Styela clava: one gene and its partners. The protein of the gene in region 3 purifies or fractionates together with the protein of the main gene of each other region. This does not show direct contact. Links are inferred from orthologs where the notes say so. Each region holds a gene or a part of one and is shown on either strand. Other genes may lie near its edges.

The links.
Region 1: the proteins of M-phase phosphoprotein 6-like (region 3) and nuclear nucleic acid-binding protein C1D-like purify together in Homo sapiens (co-immunoprecipitation; 3 studies listed by BioGRID and IntAct, counting the BioPlex papers as one, with this or other methods). This does not show direct contact. The link is inferred for Styela clava from reciprocal best matches to the Homo sapiens genes MPHOSPH6 and C1D.
Region 2: the proteins of M-phase phosphoprotein 6-like (region 3) and exosome complex component RRP42-like purify together in Homo sapiens (affinity purification with mass spectrometry; 4 studies listed by BioGRID and IntAct, counting the BioPlex papers as one, with this or other methods). This does not show direct contact. The link is inferred for Styela clava from reciprocal best matches to the Homo sapiens genes MPHOSPH6 and EXOSC7.

What each region holds. Positions count from the first base shown.
Region 1 is NC_135252.1:10,622,577-10,629,057, reverse strand, and holds nuclear nucleic acid-binding protein C1D-like, read right to left. Parts: upstream 1,854-6,481; 5' UTR 1,803-1,853; coding exon 1,680-1,802; intron 1,160-1,679; coding exon 803-1,159; 3' UTR 576-802; downstream 1-575. Other genes in the region: protein FRG1-like, read left to right, coding at 1-46; uncharacterized protein LOC120342968, read left to right, coding at 4,030-4,111, 4,410-4,492, 4,651-4,768, 5,059-5,154, 5,604-5,834. UniProt on the Homo sapiens protein: Plays a role in the recruitment of the RNA exosome complex to pre-rRNA to mediate the 3'-5' end processing of the 5.8S rRNA; this function may include MPHOSPH6.
Region 2 is NC_135257.1:17,234,895-17,242,655, reverse strand, and holds exosome complex component RRP42-like, read right to left. Parts: upstream 2,784-7,761; 5' UTR 2,560-2,783; coding exon 1,690-2,559; 3' UTR 1,484-1,689; coding exon of another isoform or gene 969-1,483; 3' UTR 873-968; downstream 1-872. Other genes in the region: Parkinson disease protein 7 homolog, read left to right, coding at 1-18; peroxisomal membrane protein 11A-like, read left to right, coding at 614-669, 757-872, 969-1,483; katanin p60 ATPase-containing subunit A-like 2, read right to left, coding at 4,590-4,721, 5,724-5,831, 6,788-6,860, 7,181-7,270. UniProt on the Homo sapiens protein: Non-catalytic component of the RNA exosome complex which has 3'->5' exoribonuclease activity and participates in a multitude of cellular RNA processing and degradation events.
Region 3 is NC_135253.1:11,375,057-11,382,852, reverse strand, and holds the start of M-phase phosphoprotein 6-like, read right to left. Parts: upstream 3,491-7,796; 5' UTR 3,354-3,490; coding exon 2,850-3,353; 3' UTR 2,170-2,849; intron 1,770-2,169; 3' UTR 1,663-1,769; intron 1,179-1,662; 3' UTR 1,094-1,178; intron 779-1,093; 3' UTR 1-778. Other genes in the region: protein arginine methyltransferase NDUFAF7, mitochondrial-like, read left to right, coding at 7,406-7,648. UniProt on the Homo sapiens protein: RNA-binding protein that associates with the RNA exosome complex. Involved in the 3'-processing of the 7S pre-RNA to the mature 5.8S rRNA and play a role in recruiting the RNA exosome complex to pre-rRNA; this function may include C1D.

The DNA of each region.
Region 1 (6,481 bases), on a different chromosome or scaffold from region 3:
TGACAGAAGATCTAAGATGAAGGCAGATCGCTACTGCAAAGTGTGAAATTTGGCAACATGCGGCATATGCTGTAAGTCGAATGAGGAAGAATGTGTATAGCTTGGAAAAAGGGGGGTCTGTTACGATCGAGGAAACAGTTTTCATTGCTGACGTGGCACAAAATATATATGAATTCTACTAAACATCACTTTGATAGCCATAGGTTGATGAAGACGTGCTTCAGATCATTCACAGAAGCACTATACAGTATATATAAACGACACATGACACAGTGTTACTGATATTTTATAGAGTCTAAAATGTATTGTTTTCAAATGTTGCGTTTTGTGAATAGAATGTTACGCAGTACATGCTGAGAAATTTTTGATGCTGGCATGAAGCATAACTAAGGCTTTATTGAAACAGCTTCATATTCATAGGCTTTGTGGTTATGACTATTGCAAGTTAACAATGACAGTGTGTTTTTCTACCTGATAAATATATGTGTGCGCCAACAATACACATGGCATTTTGATGAGAGTATGTTGGTCTTTCAGAGTGCTGTCGTTGGTTGTGATCCAGACTATTAGACACATTTACTGGCATTTCGTTGTTTTATTTCATTCAAAAAAGTTTTTTATAATTAAAAACGGAGAATAGCAATTGTGAATTTTTGACTATACTAGCCGGCATTTTTACTAGCCAACCTTAATCTTTATTTTCCATTGCTCTTTTCAATCAGTTGCTATCCACCTTCACTGATGCTTGGATGGATTTCATAACTTAAGACCAATTTTTAGAATGGTATCATGCCTTTCCATTTCACTTTTTTTTCGCCCTCTTTTTGGATTTGTGATCATGATGCTTTGAGTGTCTTTTTGCAGCACCTTTACTGTCCGACTTTTCCTGTTTTTCTTTATTTTTATCATCGAGATCAAACATCGCATTTCTTATAAAACGTTTTGCAGTTTCTTTTTCTAGCTTTGGAGCTTTTGCTCGGTCTTCTATTTCTTTCACTTTACCCATGTATATCTTTATCCTATCCAATTCTCCTTTAATTGGATGTGTTCTGGGATTGACTCCCTGAGTTATCAGATAAGTCCAAAACATTGAATTGATGGAGTATGCTGAAACAAGTTCTAGTTTTGCAACATCCAAGGGTGTAAGGTCTTGAAGTATCTAAAAATAAAGTGAAATGAAATAAACTATATTGTGCGACACTGATCTTGGCCATCATTAAAAGGTGCTATGAATGTTTGTGATGATGTGGTACAGTACTATGACAATGAAGACCCAAAACATATCCATAATCCAAAAACAATGGTCTCTCAATTCAGAAATTGAGTCAGTTTAATGAGTAACAAGATCGTCATGTAACATTCTGATATTAGAGTGGAAGCATAATTATATGCCCACTTTACCAAGAACTTCTAGTTTTGCAGGGGCCTCCTGTAAAACAAAACCGAAAATGAGTCAACATGCAAAATTGACACATACCAGCATACAATTAACTTGACCCTGTAATACAGTACAGCAGTATGGAGATACTGAGAAAGTATTTGCGTCATTTAAAAGTTAACTCTCGAACTATCTAATATTATGAGATTGGGCATTTAAACTCTTAGGATCTGACCATCCTATTACAGATAATGTATTACTGAATTACCGGTATCTTATAGTATTTAGCATTTATACAAACCTTATTACGCGGCGTGTCCAACAAAGGCTTGATAGCACTTTCCACTTTATCAAGGGAATCGCTGAAACTTTCAAAACATTCTTCCAATTCATGAGGAATATCCTCGCCCTCACTGGAAGACATCGTACTCACTGATTTGGTGTGAAACACCAGAAAAATACAATACAACGCATGAAGCCGGAGTTCTTGAAAATCGGCCACTAGAGGCATATCTTTTAATAACCTATCAAACCGTGAATACGGTATATACTACAACCAAAGCCGTTATATAATGGCTCTGCTATTACGATCAAACCCTGCGCCAGGGGTCACCAAACTTTTTTGACCGAGGGCCAGGTATGACTCAAACTTTGTTTAAAACGGGCCGGACAAATATTTTTGTCAATGCAATACAATAAATTCACAAACGTTGGGAAATCCACTCAATTCAGTCAACAATATAAATTATACAAGTTTTGAATATCATATTTTATATCGCAGAATATATATCAAGAACATCATAGCAACCCAAATACTGTATATAAGATTTTTAGACAACTATCCTGAGGTTAGCTGTTAGCAAAACAATTGCTGTCATGAATATCTGCATGTAAGCAGTACAAAAGGGTTAATGTGACTTGTGAAATTTGAGTTTAGCTTTCAAAATTTTTTCAATATATACTATTGAGCAGTACGTGAGAGATTACAGTACTATTAGCGAAAATGTTTATTTTAGCACGAGAAACGTACACAGCAACAGTTTTTGCAGAAAACGTTGCCGGTAGAGAATTTTAGCCTATTTTATCACAGCTATTTTCTAGACTAATTTTTGATTACTGCAATTAAAGTATATATTTACGATTAAACTACAACTCCTAGGGCTGAATAAAAAATGATGATTGACTTATTTAATTCATACTTAAATTTCCGAAACACAAACAAAAACACGAATAGCATTCAAAATCGCGAAAACGAGGTATATTGTTTACAATCACGAGGCACGACTGAAAATCTGTCTGAGTGACAAAAATGTATGGGCGATTGCTAAAAGGTCTATTGTTACGCCACGTTTTGCATCTTGCTAATTGGCCAATGTTACGAAACAAACAAAGAAGTCGATGCTCGGGGAACCATCCATCGGAAAAAAAATTAGTCATTCTATCGTGTTATTGCGGGCCATATGAAAGGACGCCAGGAGCCAGATTGTGCCCGCGGGCCGTAGTTTGGTGACCCCTGACCTGCGCTATCATGCAACGTTTTGTCCAACCCCATGTTATTCGATGTCATGTAATTTTAATCAGCGATATTTAATCCTAATTGTATATACAATGTTGTATCATTGCGTTTTTTGTTTTATTCGGAGACAAACCGGTTTCAAAAGAACAATTCTATTTTTATTTTGGAGTCGATGAGACGGCTTAATCATATGTCCAAGCCCCAGACCACCTCGTCCGGTTACCAGTCCATGTAAGATATGGGATCAGTAAGCCAGTTATTTGTTTTAGATTGATGGACTTTATGATGTAAGAATTCTTAACCGACGACCAGCGATTACGTAGTCGTAAACCATCCACATAATTATCCCCGCGGGATTCGAACCTGAGAACCGAAGCAGGGTAATCAAAGGTGCGATGACAAGGATATTCCTAACGCCTAGCACGATGCGCCACACCACAGAGCCACCGAGCAATGCCGCACAATAGGATGTTCTGATTTACTTTGATATGTTAACACGACATTTCATTTCCAAATTGGAGGACGATGGACCTAATCCGAAGCTAAAGAGCGATTACGTGAACAACACAACCACCGCAAGCAGTCGGACAAAACCCGTCGCACATAATCATTATTTTTAATGAGATTCTCCTAACAAGGAATGAACTAGGTTAACAGCACAATAAAATGCGAAATATTATGATAGGTAATCAATTTTGGATGAGACACATTGTTTTTTTACCCGTGAAATTACTGCATCTTAAAGCACTCAACACTAGCAACCCCACGTACTGTACGATGTTCTAACTCGTTTGTGCGAAATGGGTTAATTCTGTTTACACTTTTGAAGTTTTGTCCAGCCTGTTAGCTGTCAGCTTATACGGTACAGTTGATACAGTACTGCAATAAGTTGGTAGTCTATTTCTGTAGTGCGGCGAGTTACATTTCATACAATCTAATACGGCAGTATGTTGTTTGCAGATATGATAGTATAAATTGAGCCAGTCACATAATTCACGACATCGGCAGATTGGTAATTGCCACATTTGCATGGATTTTAATGCAATCAAATGAATGAATGATGATGGACGTGATGTAACATAAATATATTTCAGCCTATACAGATCATAATTCAGGAATCACTACCGAAATAGGAATGGATGAATTAGTGGACGATGAATTACATTTAGCAGTAAGAGTTGGGGATTTGGAGTCTACCATTTGTGCTCTTCAACAAGGTAACATTAATATAAGTTAACATTAATACTGTAGTATTAGAATATGTTGAATGAGGAATAAAGTACGGTACTACAGGTAAAGTAGACAGAACTAGGATAGTATGCATATCTGGGACCCAGAGAGACTTAAGTACTAAAGTATAAATTTATTTCGACTCCATAATCATATAATAAACGATAAAATAACTGATAAAAACAAAATTTTTATCTAATTTTCCAGAGTCAGGGAGTGGGAAATAGGTATCTGTTTATATTACTATGTCGTTTATAGTCTGATAATATATATATTGTTTTCTAGGCCTCAATCCCAATAATATTGGATTATTTGAATGGAGTTCCCAACATGAAGCAGCTCATAATGGAGATTTTGACATTTTAAAGGTGAACGTTTACCTCCTATATTATATGATGTTTCATTAAAGTGTAGTGAGTCATTCAATTTGGTACATGCTGTGTTAACAATTCAAATCTCTAATTAGTTTTGTCAAGATTTCATTTTTATGACACTGATTTATTCAAAAGCTGATTATCTTATTTAGGTTTTATTGCGGTATGGTGGGGATCCTAATTGTAAAGATTTGTTGAATGGATCTACTGCATTACACTATGCAGCATCAGAAGGTCACTCAAAATGTCTCGAATTACTCTTGTCAAATGGTATGAATAGAACTTAAGTTTAATTCCAAGTACCGAGGTATTACAAGCACCGAGCGATAACATTCGTACTGTATGCACCTTGTCATTGAAACATAATACTTACTTAAAAGTGCCGAATCACTGGTATAACTATCTATGCATTGAAATATTTAAATGTGTATTTAGCTGGCAGTCGTCTTGATATACAGGGTGTCCATATGAATTGTATGATAAATCTTCGAAATTGTAAAGATATTTATACACATCATGTGTATTAGATTTTTATGAAATGTACATTGTAATACTTTCAGGTGGAGATGCTAAAATCAAGAATGACAAAGGTCAGACAGCTCCTGATATAACTCGACATAAAGGGTGTAAAGAAGTATTTGCCAAATATGGAATAGGTTTGTTATATTCTGTTATTCCCTCAGATGTACTTGAATTCTGCTCTGGTCATTGCTTTTTAATTCGTATTTACTTTTTGTAATGGCAAAATTAGGTCAAATTAGGCAGCATCACCAATTCACCATTTGCAATGATGGAGAGCAAAACAGTGGACACAAAGTGAACTTATGGATCGTTTGCAAAATTATTGTTAATGTTGTGAAAACGCTCTGCTGCAATTAATATACTAATCGACTTCAAAATTTCAAACTTTAAGATGAAAAAAGTCGTTGGAAGGCTATTGCCTTTCTCAAATTTTCATTACGCCACTAAAATATTCTGGATTTTATAGTTCATGGGCACACCTTTATATAACATTCATACAATTCTTTTAACATTGATATAAACTTCGGTGGCTAAATATTCATTTCACCTTTAAGCACATATGAGCATTATTTTTTTTTCATAGATGTTACAACCTCAGTTCACTTTGAAGATCAAACCAAATCCACCGAACAACAACAATTCAATAAGCACCAGAACAAAAAACATTCTCAACCATCTCCATCTAGTTTTTCAAAATATACTTGTAAATCGACTCTATCAGATGATAGTTATGAATCGGGAATTGGAAGTAAAGCATCACTGACTGACTCTGTTAGTGTCTCAAGTGTCAATTCCAAATCGGTTGAATTTAAAGGTATTGTTGTTACACTATAAATATGATTGTGATTTTCAAGTTGGTCAAAGAGCTCAATTAAAAAAAAATTCTTTATTTCATGCTGCAGAAGACTCATCTCCAAAATATGTAGGCTATATCTTTTCATCTTATATAGAATATTATATATATATCCAGCGAAAAAGTTAATTCACCATTATATGTTATGAATGGCTCAATTTTACAGTGGAGAATTTGGTAAAAATTGGTATATTGGATGGTTCCATTACATTTGAACCCACGTACATTTGAACCCATGACAATTGCACCTGTATGCTATTGCACCTATGGAATTTTTTTTTGTTTCACGGATAGTTAAACCCATACTAACCCTAACCCATGGGTTTTAGCACCCGCATATAGACTGAACCCGTGGATATACGCATGGGTTCAAATGTACATGGGTTCAAATGTACGGTCACCATATTGGATAAATATGATAAAATATCTACAGTGATATTAAAAAAGCTATTACTCTATCTATGCGTATATTGCATAGAATATAATTGATATAATATTGCCACAATATTATATCCGTCTTCTAAACATGAATATCATAACCATAATAATAGCATAACTTATGATAAATCTCCATTTTTTGTTTGTTTGATAGAGGATTTTTGTTCTAT
Region 2 (7,761 bases), on a different chromosome or scaffold from region 3:
CCGATGGTTTTGCCATAACTTGCCCACCGACTATATTTATATCATTCACTGTTAGATAACATCAAACATCATCTTTGCCCTGTTTGAGCTTGATTTATTCATTTTTGATAGTTGTCTCTAAGTTACGCAATTCAATTGCCCAAAATACGGAAGATCATTGACTGCATGGCAATTAACTGCGCTTATTGGGTTTATATTTTCATGTTGCCTTGACCAGTGATTCCCAACATGCTATGGCTCGTGGCCCCTTGCCCGTCCCGACTTTAAACACTCATGGCCCCCTTGTTTATCATTCATATCATTGGTCTTTATAGTGTAATTTTGATTGGTAGATTCCAAATCCCATTATGTTGAAACATTTCATGCACAAAGTGAAAACACCCTGTGAAATAACTTTATCAAGCAGAGTTTTCTTGTAAAGTGAAAAGTAAAATCAGTTTTGCGCCTAGCATTGTCGACCTCTGTCCACTGGTATTTTATACTATATATTTCTGTATAGTATGTATTCCTCATAATTCACTCCTTTTACATATGTGATTCTGGGATGTTTTGACAGAAATGCTTTTTTTCATTTCCAGAGCTATAGCTTTAAAATAAATCAGGTCAAGTTCAAATGGATGACTTCCTAGCTTTTTGCAACAAGACGGCTGGTCGAGACAAATTATATAGGTAATTGATTGTTTTTTCTCAAGACTGTTTTTAGGTAAATGTGCAGAAATTGGGATTTCTTGTAATTGAATACAACATGTTTTATAGAGTCACGCAATATGGCAGCAAATTTCTTGTATGGTATCTACTGAGAAATGGCAATAAGGAAAATGCAGTCAACATGCTCATAGAGCTGGAAAAATTAATGAGCACGTCCAGAAAATGTGAGTTTATATTTTAATAATTCTGGCAACAGACACAGATCTCACATTACCAAAGCTCAATTTACTGAATAAAAAAAAAATATACATTTTTTTCAGTATTTAGATTTGGGAAAAGTGTGGACAGTCTCAGAGCAGCCCAGAGAGCAATAAATTTGCAAAACTATGTTCTGAGTCTCACACTAACTACCTCTCATACAAATAAAGCAGCCTACCTTCTCATTGACCACTATATATGGATGGGGAAAGTTGGCTTGGTACACGCAGATCTGAAGAAGTGGACAGAGAGCGCGAACAAGTTTTGGTTGGCATCTTTGATGATGGCTTTTGCAAGGGATCTCTATTCGTTGTATATCAATATGCAACTATTGGCTAGAGATGCAAGAAGGCGCGAAGAATCCATCTCGTTCCAGACCTACTTTTCCAATTTTGTGAAGCAGAATCAACAAGCAATAATCGACCTTTTGAAAAATGGATTCGATATAGTTATCCCCGCAAACAGTCTGGGATACACTAATTTCAATAACGGGGTCGTTGGGTTATGTGGCGTGTTGTCCTCTCTATTAGCTGCAGTACAAATAGCGAAACCCTCCATGAAATTAACGCCGAACTGACAAAGCACATGCTTGTTATTATCTATCTACCCCTACTAATTCTTACTTATACATACTATGCAATTATTTTCAATGAAGCGTTAATTTTGTATGATTGATCTGATATCAAAATAAAGCATTATAAAACGAATGCTAATATAATTTTAGGTAATATTTATGGGGAAACATTAGCATTGGGAATTTTCTGAAAAGGCAGATTGTTTTAGTCAAAGAAAACCAGTTTTGTCATTAAACTTCATAACTGGCATGTTTTTGAGAAACTTCAAAATAGATTTATGTAAATTCATTCCTACTCTCTTTCCCACATCTAGCATTTCGCTAATACTCTGTGGGTCCAGGCTACCAGAGCCGTCTTTACGCAGAGCTGTACAGCGGCCATCTTTCATAATTGATAAAATGACACTTGCCAAACAACATGCTTCCTCCTCGGCTGTGGCGTCGATAATATATCTCTGACCAGCTTTTGACAAAGTCACAAAAATTGGACAATTAGTCACATTCATGGGGATACTGTCCAATGGATCATCTGGCAAGTTAATTTCCACCTCCCCCTCATCACCTTCGGTCACTCCCAGTTTTGGGATAGATGTGTCAAACAAAGCAGCGAAGACTGCAATCGACACTGCATCAAGAAGATTGCCGCCACATTCTAATATGAGAACGTCAACATGCACTGACCAGCAATTTTTCCCAGGCACAATACATAAGCTTTTAAGGTCTAACACAAGATTATTGTTATAGGCTCTTGTTAGTAAACTTTTTATGGTTGCGGCAAGATCTTCACCGCCCCTACCTTGGAACTGTGGTGTGGCATTTGGGGAGCAGTCAATGTTAAAGTCCACCAATCCTTGGTCAGGAGAATTTGCCAGTGGCATTTCGAGATCAAGTTTCACGCCCACAAGAAGTTCTGTATTCCCAATTCTCAGTCTGCTAGATCCATTTGTGTTAGAAACAAGATTTACTTCCAAATCAATGTGTCTGTAATCTTCACAACCTCGTCCATCATTCCGCAAATCTTCTTGTATTCCATGAATTATAAAGCGCTTTTCTGCATCACCAAGTATTGCAATTGCCATTCTTGCAGACTAGAGTAGAATGCGCCAATTCGACCTATTACAGTAATAATTGAAACCTAAGTTCACATTACAGCATTAAGCGCACGCTCATTGTGTTACAGAACTGCAGATTAGTAGAAAAATAAGTAGATACCGTCAATCAATCAATTTTATTTTGGTCGCTTTGGTATAAAACAAAACAACAACAAACAAAACGCAGAGGACCTGGAAGACGTGAATGAAAACAAGACCTAACGTCTGAACGGTATAACTTCTGTATACTGGTATACCGGTAAGTGTATTACCAGACAATAGTCTAATCTAGGCCAAAAACCCTCTACAAATGGCACCGTACCTTCGCCGACAACTTAATTAATGAGACTCAGATACAGACGAGCAAAATGCGGTAGCAGCGATACAGTACCGTACTCTTCGTAGTCACACTCCCAACCTTAGATTGCAAATAAAAAAATAATTCAAATACAAGAAATCCGCGTGCGTGACCTTTGATCTCGTAAAATTTCATGTCCATGTGCTCATTGTGCTGTGCCCAGAGCCATTATATAACGGCTCTGCTGTGCCCATGGATGTTTCCTTGTTTATTTCCGTAACCTTGTCCAATCAATATTATGTCTACGATGACATTTGCGTGTTCTTTGTCAGTTTTCAGTTGTGTCTCCAAAAATTAGTCGTAATTCAAATAATTTGGTTCCATTACATTTGAACCCACGTACATTTGAACCCATGACAATTGCACCTGTATGCTATTGCACCTATGGAATTTTTTTTGTTTCACGGATAGTTAAACCCATACTAACCCTAACCCATGGGTTTTAGCACCCGAATATAGATTGAACCCGTGGATATACGCATGGGTTCAAATGTACATGGGTTCAAATGTACGGTCACCAAATAATTTAATTGTTATTATGTCTTCCTTCAGTTTAGTTGCAATAATTAGCCCCGAATAATTTGCGATAGACTACTAGACACGCCTCCGGTTTTCATCATTTGGCGTAAATAAGCTGAATTCAAAAAAAATAAAAGCTTTAAGACGGCTCAACCATATGGCGAAGCACCGCCTCTCGTCCGGATACGAGTACATGTCAGGTATGGAATAATGGTGGCCAGTTATTTGTTTCAGACGCATTAAGCATATGTACAGGTTTAATTCTATTTTCATCTCTTGTACATAACAAAGATTTGGAAACATCATTTAAAACTGACAAACAAAACCTGAGATTACAAAAACGAGACGACTGAAGATATCCATTTGGTCCAGTGAAAAAATTAAGCGATTCAGCTAAAAATTATCTTATAAATTAATCAAAAGCGGACAAACTTATACTGTATATTGAATCACTGCTAACCATCATCTGTAACAATTCCCGATTCAGCAATATCGTGATAAATGAGTCTTAGACATTTATCTAGATTTTATTGGGTTGTGAGATGGATAGAATTTACATATTTATCCCGGGGGAGAGGAAAGTGATAAGACGGGTTATCCATATGGCGAACCAAGGCCTCTCGTCCGGTTATTGTTCCAAGTCGGGTATGGGATTAATAAGTTATTTGTTTTCGAAAGCATGGACTTGATCATTGTCCCGCAACCACCCCCCCCCCTCCCATACAGCGTAAATGAAGCATTTCCTACACTTAGCAACCTGTGCCCAAAACCAACCTCATATAATCACGACCAATGATAATAATTTAATCTTTTACAACAGACAAGAGGTTTTAACAAAAGAAATAGGAAAATATATCACTAAAATTTTCTTATAAAAATGTGACAATTAGTAAGCGGACATAATACTACATAGTACTTTTTCCACTTTAAAAAAGTGCACAAAATATTGTAAAGTTGTGTACAAATTTTTAAACAGCACTAAATTAAATTTCACAGTACAAGTGGCTTGACTAAGCAAGAATAAATTAAGACTTGCTTAGTTACAGTGAATAAAGTGTGACCATATGTCATGAAATACTTGACTGAATTATAATAATTTCTAATTCAGTAATAATTGTTCCTCTGGAATACCGCAAAATCACTACACAGATTCATATTTCGTTTGCCAGTCTTTGTACTTGTGGCTCAGTTTAGCAGTTGATGGCTTAGTGTGAATAAGAACATCTAAAACACATGCTGTTGATATAGTGTCCAGGGTGAAATCTGGAAGTTGCTGTAGAAAAGTAGATAAATTATGGATACAATATAAACAAAAGCAATACAGCTTATCAAGGGTCTGAGATTATGTGGCCTCCTGAGCGTAATACTGTTTTATTGGTGTTTCAGACTTATTAACAATGCATGATTCCATGACATCTGTGGACTCGAGGAATAAACTCAAACAAGAAAGTTGGGATCATACATTGTTGTAGACAAAAACATGAGCAGTTTGGGTGTGACAGATATGAACAAATCATTATGGTTTGATATGGCTCTCATTTGCTGAGAAGCTCCCTGCCTTGATATGCGTTTAAATTGATCCTTTTTTTATAAATAATCACGGATCGATTTATACATAGTGTGAAAATATAAGAGTATACTGATTGATTATAGACAGTGTTCAATACTCCGATGAACTCAATAAAACATTGTGGTTTATTTATTGTGTGTACTGCCTTTAGTTCTTTTTAGACAAGCACCAAGTTTCCATTACAACACTACTTTATTGTAAGAAACGAGCTTTTTAAACCAAAGACACCATAGCAGTAACAAACTAAGCAGCAAGTCAAATTTATACACGTGCAATTATATCATATATATAACACAATAATGATGGTGTGGTAACTTGATCTTAAATGTTTCATTCATTTATTTATATTTTATAGATATGTGTATAGTGTGTTTTAAGTTTGACGAAGCATATAAACTGTCTCTCTCCGAATCGACAACTAAAATAGACCTTTGGTAAACATTGATAAGATAATTATAGTCAATATAATATAGTAACACAACAAATCCTAAACTTAGATACTTCCAACATATGGAAAAATTATCTGGAATTGTTTTATTCTGTTGTCTAATTCTTTTAGTATGTGCAATATAATGTGGACCTCCTGAAATATGCGCACCAAGATGGCGCACAACCTGAACTCAGGTTGTGTACCAGGTTAGGGTTCAGGTTATGCGACATCTTGGTGCGCATACTTCAGGAGTACCTATAATTTTCTATACTTACTTCTCCTTCAACATGATTCTCCAAGGTATTGAATATTTTTCTGACAACTTGCATTGCTGCTTCTTTACAAACTAATTTAAGATCTGATCCAGAATATCCCTCAGTTTTCTAAAAAAAAGAATATTGTGAATTGATTGCCTGGTGATGTTGAGAGAAAAGAACTAAGAAGTACTAATGGAAGTTTCTCTTTATAACAAACAATTCCTTTATTCCTTGAAACAAAAGAGCAATGCTGAAATATATGAGCGCAGAGTTCGCACATAGGTACTGGGCGCTCCATAAGTATGTGTACCAATATGGGGATAACTAGTTTTGTTTGCCTACTTTACATCAAGTTGTGTGGAGGGACTGAAACTTATGGACAGGGAGTATATTCACTTGGCTAACTCAGACAGTCCCCGAACTTGTAATAGAACTAGAATGAGGAAAATCAGAATAAAATTAGGGCCTGACCCTAACCTGGTACACATACTATGGGAGTATCGATACTGGTACAGAAAAGTCTCAGAACACACAGTTTTATGAAAAGATCATCGGAAAAGTGTGGTGGAAGTTGTCAAGAGTGACAATATAGAGAAGTCTTCACTTACAATTAAAATAAAACAGTATAATTATAGGTGACATAAGGGTTTCCATAGGAGTCAGCTTTTTGAAATCGATCGGCCTAATAGTTGTGAAGAAAAAGAATATTTCCAAGCAACAACAACAAGAAAAAACACCAAGCAACAACAACGATTTTTAGCACAATAATCGATAAGTGCATTTTGTGTCTAATAATGCACAATCAGATATCAATCATCAAATAATGGAAGAAAAACAGTATAGCTAGCATTTTAATACAGACATTCATATTCCATTCAAAACAGGCATTCGACATTCTACCATGAAACCAAGTAATTCTAGCTTTCAATAAAAATCAACAACAATAAAATAATTTGAAAATGTACAAATTTATACATAAATATCTGAATAAGAAGTACCAGTTGGTATTTACACCAGTTTGATTGAATTGATTGGAAGGCAAATTAACTGGTTAGTTAAACCAAAATATAAATTATAATCACCTCAGCTAGAGCTCCGTAATCAAGGTTTGTGTTGATGATCAAACTTCCTTCACTATTTTTCGGAGGTAGAAACCTGAAAAGAACATTGAAATTGGTTGGATTAGTGATTCTTGATCTGTGGCTTACTAAAAAACTCTCAACACTTGGTGCCGCTGGTTCTTCAACAAAAATACCTAGTTTTGGTTTAAATTAGTTTTCATCCAATATTTCAAGCGCCATGTATAATAATAAATAGCAAAAAAAACCTGAGTAAAAGCAGAAATGTCTCCTAGTTGAAGAAATAGACAAATCAAATTTCCTTGAATTAATGTAGTCATATAGAGAAACCCTGGATTGGATTGTACTAGTTTGACTTGCTTGGTCTAAATTTAAACTCCCTTTTCAATCACTCACCTATAAAACATAGATTTTCTTGCTTCATGATTTGGAAGATCAACAAGTATTCTTTTCTCCAGACGACGAAGCATTGCATGATCTAATTCCCTGTGCAAGAAATAAATTATAGGTTTTTTATGAACTTCACCAGACAGGAATTTTTCATGGCTCCGAGTTAATGATGACAGAAGAAAGATATACCCAATAACTTACCACGCACCAACGATTGATGCCTAATAAAGTTACAAATAATAATGGGTACTTCCGTAGTGTGTGTACCAGGTTAGGGTTAGGCCATAATTTTATTCAAATTAACCCTATTTATATATATAGTGTAGTGTGTTTTAAGTTTGACGAAGCATATAAGCTGTCACATAATCAAAATGATGTCCTTACTTGATTGAAATGGGTAACAAAAAGAATTATGATTTCCAGAGACAGCAATCAGCAGATGCATGCAAAATTACAAATACCTTTTTGCACTCAAAAAAATATGAAATTAGTATTTTGATCAGTTTTTATATAATATCTGAAAGTTACTAAATTCATATACCAATGCACTCGAGTCGAATGCCATATAAAATTTGACAGTCACCATT
Region 3 (7,796 bases):
TTTTCATAAAAACTAAATTTAAAACGGTTAAGAGCAATTTAAGTTGCAAAAAATATAAAGATAATAAATGAATGACAGCAAAATCTCACAATATAATATTCTAATAAATTTATACTATTCTTCACCCATATGGTGCTACCCAAAGAGCCATTCACATTACTTCGGAATTCCCAGATTGTAATAACTATATCGCACTAAACAACACACACAAAGTGCATTTTATTGATCTTCGGACATTTATTGAATTGAAAAAGCACGATTCTTTTGACCTTCTTTTCAACAATTCATACAACTGAAACAATTGTTATTGCCATGTCCATTGTATTAAATTTCATCAAACAACTATCATATAGATATCTGTTTCCTTTAAATATTGGAAAAGAATAATTCTGTTCCACAGAACTCCTGGATCATAGCGAGAGATTTTATTCTTTTATGAATCTCGTTGTGGATGATGGAACAGAGCAAAGAAAAGACGGGACCACTGCACCTGTTGGAATGGTGGTCGTTCGTGGAAATTCGATATTAATGTTGAAGCATTGGAACGGATTTTAAATTGAACTAATCGAAAATGACAGAAGAACCCGATACTTCAATCCATGATTGTGGTGATGTGGGTACCTTTGCAAGAGCAAACTTGAGTAGATATGTACGAACAGACCATTCGCTAGTCGTCAATCCCTCATTTATAAGTAACCCAAGCCAGTGCATGACGTGATTGACACAACTTCATTGGATGGCTCTTGAACGAGTTCAACTATTTCCTCATGTCAGAGACCTGAGAGGAAATTGTTTTTATTTGCCCTTTATGACATTGAAAACCTGTGTCGAAATTTTTTGATACTCCTGAGGTATGCGCACCAAGATGTCGCACAACCTGAACCATAACCTGGTACACAACCCTAGTTCAGGTTGTGCGCCATCTTGGTGCGCATACTTCAGGAGGTCCCATTTTTTTCTATTACTGCAATCACTACTATATCAAATTGAGTTCCAGTACTGCCTTATTATTTTCAGTCCTTCAAAACACTAAATGGTGATGCTGTTCGATTGGCATTCGATTAGAAATTGTTTTTACTCAAATATTTCATACCAATCCATGATAATAATGAAGGCCTGTATCTCCTATGATTGTTCTAGTATAAATCGACAATAACTTGTATTTCATCAATCATTATCTGCAAATATGAAAAGTAAAATAATATGAAAAATGTTTGACACACGTTTTATATCATACAATATTTTGAAATATTATCATTGTTATATTAGCACTAGTGTGCATGATTAGGGAATTCATTCAAATAAAAAATTATGCAACCTTTGAATAGTGAATAATAAACATATCTAATACGTTAGCACATTTAACAAAACAAAGAATCATTTGAATCAATCGAAAGATTTATTTGTTAAAATCTTTTTTCAAAATTGCACAACTTTCAATTCTATTCAGAACTTTTACTTTCATTCAATTAATGATTTAATCACACAAACAAAATAGCAAATAGTTTTTTACCTCAGCAAATTTACCTGGTCTTAAAACCTAACAGTCAAGTTTGAATGTAAACTCAGTAGGCTTATAGGTAATTGCTATTTTTTTAGGTTATCCAGTTAATAACCTAACACTGACAAAGTATCGTAATATTTCTCGAAAAAATCACATACCTTCTGGATATTTTCCACCATTTCTTTTTCTTTCTTTCCTTTCCTCCGTATTGCCATGTGTGAGTTGGAAGAAAACGAACAATTCTTACATGAGCATTTGATTTCAGCTGAACAGTAAAAATACTATTTGAAATACTACTAAATACTATCATATTTGAAAATTATAATTTTCCACACTGCCACAATATGATAGAATCAGCATTTTTAGCGATTAATAAAGTGTGTATTATCTATTGGTAACGTGGAATATTTTTTCTGCAAGAACAAAATAAAAGAATTGACAGATTTGCTGATGTCATGACATCAAAGTTCGTCCTTGTACTGTACCTGGAATTAGATACAGAATTTCATATTTTTATGACTTTTTAAATATTGTCCTGGTAAACTCTGCCATCCGAATTGTTGCATAAGCATTCAACAACTAGATCTTTTCAATAACAATTAAACATTCAACAACTTTATCATACATTATATTAATTATATATCTATAAGAAAAAATTAACTTACCCAATTTTTTATATTGATCTCTTCTACTGATTGTGACACCTCAATCGCAATTTCCGTGAAAATAGTTTGCCCTGCGAGGGGCCGTTTAAATATAAATCAAAGAAACCATAGAATTCCATTTCAGAATACGATATTACCAATGTGCTAAAATATTCAATTTGTTAATTAGGCAATACAGTAACAGAAAAATGTTACTATTGTTTTATTAATGTAGAATTTTCCGATGAAGTTATATTCATTAGGATATAATCTTATAACAATGAAGTAAAAATCATGATATTTTAATGAACAAACAATTTCAAGCATACCATCAATGCTAATTTATTGTAGTCTACAGAATTGATGGTGTGAAAAATATAACTAATTGTATTCATAACTTTATACTTATGAAACAGATATGGTATGACCGCAATAGTTAAAGACTGTTTTTTGTGATAAGTTACAGCGGTTTAATTAGCAGTTGGTATCTTCAAAAAACTTTTGTGTTAATCCTAATTGCTATATGTCTCATTATCCATCGAATCACATTCAGCATAAAGGGATAGTTACACTTCATTGCATACAAGGTGGAAGTACTGTATATTATATTGCAATGAATATCATATTTTGCAATGACACAATGTCATTCATTTCTGGATCTAAACTACATGACAAGGACAAGGGGCCGCATAAGTATCAATTTAGTCATCTGCAGGTTTAATAAAAAATGATGACGAATCTTGTTTTCTTTGCTTTGCATCAAAAGTTCCTTTTTCTGTGTCAATCAATTTTCTTTTGCCTTTCGAACGTTTCGGTACTTTTTTCTTATTAAGATATTTTTTTGCAACTGTTCCAACTAGAGTAGTAAATCTGTCGGCCATTTCTTCATCTGATATTGAACCAATACTATCTTCATCAGATTTTCTTTCTTCATCTTCAACTGCTTCATTATTCCAATATTTTGTCATTTTTTCTGTTAGTTTATTAAAACCTTGGAATGACATTCGTCCATATCTGAGATCACATAGTTCTGTTATATCTACTGTGTCATATTTACTGCATTTCTCAGATAATGTTGGCAACTCAATTTCCCATTGTTCATCATTTATTATTTTTCCACTTGTCTCTTGCAGTGATTTATTTGTTTCCTCAGATTGACCCCTTTGCATAAATTTCATTCTCCGAACATGGATAGAAAGATCCATAACGAATTCTGAATGTCGGTCACAGGTGCTCAGAAAACCAGATATGAAATATGGAGTTAAGTTTTGCAGTTTGAGTGTGAATATTTCTATTCAACCAGTATTCGAATGCCAAATTAACTAGAATTGGATATAATAAAAAAAGATGTATCAATACAGCATTAAGCAACTATGAAACTACAATGTTAAGACTATGTAGTATGTAAAAAAATTATTTTGTTCTCTATGCCTGTTGTTGTTGTCTACTTCAGGGCTTCCCAAACTAGGGGCCGCGGCCCTGGGAGGGGCCGCAAAACGAATTCTAGGGGGTGCGAAGAGAACACCAATTTTACACAAAGTACTATATCTATTGCACTTTTTCAGACTCTTAATTTAAAATACAATCATTAAAAATAGTGTAAAACGATAATTTCACGATTCCGAGTGAATATACATCATCACACCGTGTTTTCCCGAAAATAAGACATTGTCATCAATTTTCTTTTGAACACTGGAGCTCATTTTAGGAGAGTGTAGAGAATACAAGATTAATATACGAAATATGAATACCCAAATATGATACCAATTTAATAGCACGTTTCCATTTAAAATAGCGGCTACATATAGGTTATTAACAATTTAAAAAGTAGATTTCTTTCAACTATAGGACTCAGTAGTTTTCGAACTTAATTGTATTGTGACGACCTCCAGAAATATGCTCAAGTTTTGCAATGAGTTTTATATAAATATAAACGAACAAACAAAATCTAACAACAGTCAGTGAAATCAAATTTAATGGGCCATGGTAGAAAAACCTGCTTAATATAAATACGAAATCGCAAAGGAGATGTGGTGCGCAACGCTTTTTGAACATAGTAGAAATAAATAATCTTTATCTACAGAAAACCGAATTATCAGAATTAAACGGTAGAATCATCGCGCTTGCATTACAATGTATATTCTGATCCTAAGACCCGATTTGCGTGCTTGCATAACAATGCCGGCTTTAATCGCCATGCTAGCGGTTCCGGAAGGCGATTTGCTCAGTGCGCCTCGAAACATATCACATATTTTATTTATTTTAAATGTTTTATTGTTTCTCATTAGAGCAAATGATGTGTATAATTCATTTTATCGTTCTAAATTATTTACTTTCTGTTACGTAACAGGTAAACCCTAATGCTGCAATTTCGTTGGCCGCAATTTATTCATTTGCTGAACCGAGTTTATGGAACATGAGTGAGTTTCGAGCATTTTAAAGAAAAACTAGGCAGAATTAAGAAAGAAAGATTCGCATCCATTACATTGAATAATCTGAGTAAAGATGTTTTTGTTATTGAGTAGCCCTATTAAAAGTTAAGAATTAGCTGTGTCAATGAATTATCAAAAATGCATATTTAGAACTTTTTAGCATTATTAGCGAGAACAAGGGCCGCGAAAAACTTTAATATATCAAAAAGGGCCACGAGCTCAAAAGTTTGGGAAGCCTTGGTCTACTCTATGTTTTGGTGTCCAATATCTGAATATGTTGAAATAGTGTAACTTGCATAACATTTTCAACTGTAGCATCATCGATACCTACAAAATATAATGGATAGTAGCATGATTGTTTACTTTCTCACATGACACAGATAATAAGACTGAACAAAATTTGATTTTGTTACATAACATTCAGACATTAGTTTTGATATACCGTAATACAAATCAAATTTGCTGTTTTAAGACACCACTGATTGAATTTTGCTGTTTGTTTCATCCTACATGGTTGATTGGAGAAGTTGTATGTACGATACAACTGTACAAGTGTTGTGTTTTCAAAATAACGAAATAAATTGCATATATTTTTTTCCTATTTTTTTAAAGAAAAACAATTTCACATATTAGTCACATAACAATCAAAGGCTATCTGACAGTAATCTATCTAACGTGTAGGCTATGTACTTGCTAGCAAACATCTTGCGAGTATAACAGTAGAGTGGAAGTGGTGACTCCTCTTCGGCCCATGGGCCGGGGCCACGGCCCATCAAATTGGGCCTAGGCCCATCAGGCTATGGGCCACGGCCCATCAAGTTGTGTAAAGGAACTATTCACTTGGCTAACACAGACAGTCCCCAAACTCATAATAGAACTATAATGTAAAAAATCTGAACAAAATTTTGCCCTAACCCTAAGTCCCTAACCTGGTACACATACTACAGGAGTTTATTTTTTGGTTCGAATAATGACAATTTTGTAGAAATTGAAAATTTTGGTAAGATAATTGAATTTTTTCTGACGGGGCCGCGGCCCATAGCTTGATGGGCCACGGCCCATGTGGCCCAATTAGATGGGCCGTGGCCCCGGCCCATGGGCCGTAGTGGAGTCACCACCCCTGTAGTAACAGTAGACGAACTGACAAATGAACGCGAAGAAACAAGCACACAATAAAGTAAAAATGAATCATCGTTTCTTATTGTGGCATACACTGATACAGTTCAAATGTGCTATCATATTGTCTTTCCACTCGAATTCCTAAAATACTTTGATTCTTTGTAAATCTATCATACTTAACAAAGTTAACAACGTTTCTGTAACACCATACTGCCATACGCAATACCTGCATTTGTATGCACAGATGCATTCCCTGGTCTTGTCGGACAGTAAACGCACGTGTTTTTTGTTTTTTTTTTCGTTGTTGTTGTCTACTGATGGGTTAGCGCAGGGGTACACAACTCAAATGAGAACACGTGTCAAATTTTTCAAAATAATCTTGTCGCGTGCCATGCACAATCGTTGGTATGGACATTCCACGACCTCTGACCTCCGTAAAATTCTTCCCATACTTTACCATTTCAAAATTTTCGTTGCTTATCTTAAGAGTGGTTGGCGCCTGTAAATTGGGACACTTATTTCAAGCCATCATTCTGATTCATTGCATTCAACAATCTGTTTTTTTAAATATCGATAAAATTTTTTAGCCTATTCTATCACAGCTATATATATATACACTAACTTTTGATTACTGCAATTAAACTGAAACTCCTAAGAAGACAAAGTTATCATTGAATTATTTTATATATATTTACATATCTGAAATACAACTGAAAACTAACGAATAGAATTCAAAAACGAAGTAATGTTTACGAACAGGCCTTAAAATCTGTCTGAGCGTCACTTTTTGCACCTTGCTGATTGGCCAATGTCACGAAATAAACAAGTCGATGTCGGGGAAACAACCTCTGTACATGAACTCCCGTAAAACACACATCAAACAAATTTCAATAATAATACATAATACGAATATCTGTTTATTGAAACAATTTAATAACCTGAAAAACTGCTGATTTTGATATAAATGTGATTTTTTACGAAACCGTTCGCGTGCCACGTTTGAGCGTATGGCGTGCCAAATTTGGCACGCGTGCCTCGTGTTGTGCACCCCTGGGTTAGCGGGTTTGTTGTCCTTTATACTCAACCCTTAACGACCCCCCCGAATTTGATTTCAATGAAATCCCTCGGACTCAAAAGAGTACCTAATAATAATTATTATAACGTGAAGCAATTACATTGCTGTTACCATTTTAGTTGATCAATGCTTCCGCTCGTTTTGTGACAATAGACATTTGTTAGTGTACAATTAACAAGTAGGCTATTCACATAAAAGAATTACCTGGTGATTAGGGGTTTACTCGACGATCTGAAGACGACATCAGATGCACTTTGTCTAAAATCTAAATGAACCTTAATTTCGAAAGAAGATAGGGCGTGGAGCCTGAATTTGGGGTGTTTCAATTGTAATTGGGGTCATATTTTCAACCTCTTTGGAGACGGAATCTATATTCTCTGGATAATTTTACACTTTCAATGGGGATAATAGTTTTCAACAAAAACCTAAAATAAGTTCACTAATCGTTCTTAATAGCATATTATAAAAGCTTGTATAAACCAAAGTTTGTGTAATAAAATGTTATTTTTGAAGATGAATTCGATGTAGATATTTTTTTCAACCTGGGGTATGAGACATGAGTTTTTTTTTTAAATCTGGCACAAGTTGTATTTTGGTAAGGGGAATTCCCTGAGTTCCCAAGATTTTGTAAATGAGTTGGAGTTGTGCGCACATTTCTTGCATTCGTTTCAGTTGCGAGGGAGTTTTGCTTAAAGCAAACGTAATGAAGCGTGCACTCAGCTTATTACCGCATCTACCTCGAATGAGATTATATTGTAGTGGTTTTCGGTCGTTCTCAAGCAATCTTGCAACTTCAATCTGCAAACAAATCAAGTACTCTGGACCGATTTCTGTTGCACAATACATGAAAGAAGTTTTAACAACCCCTCATGCAGTAAGCACTTTGATCTGGTTGGAACTCAAAGTTTGGTGTATGTTTTGTTTTGAGGCATCTGATTTTGTTCATCTGAAGTAATTTTAATATCAAGCTTTCACTATATCTTTTTATCCATCCATATTGTTTATGATGGACTGCATAATTA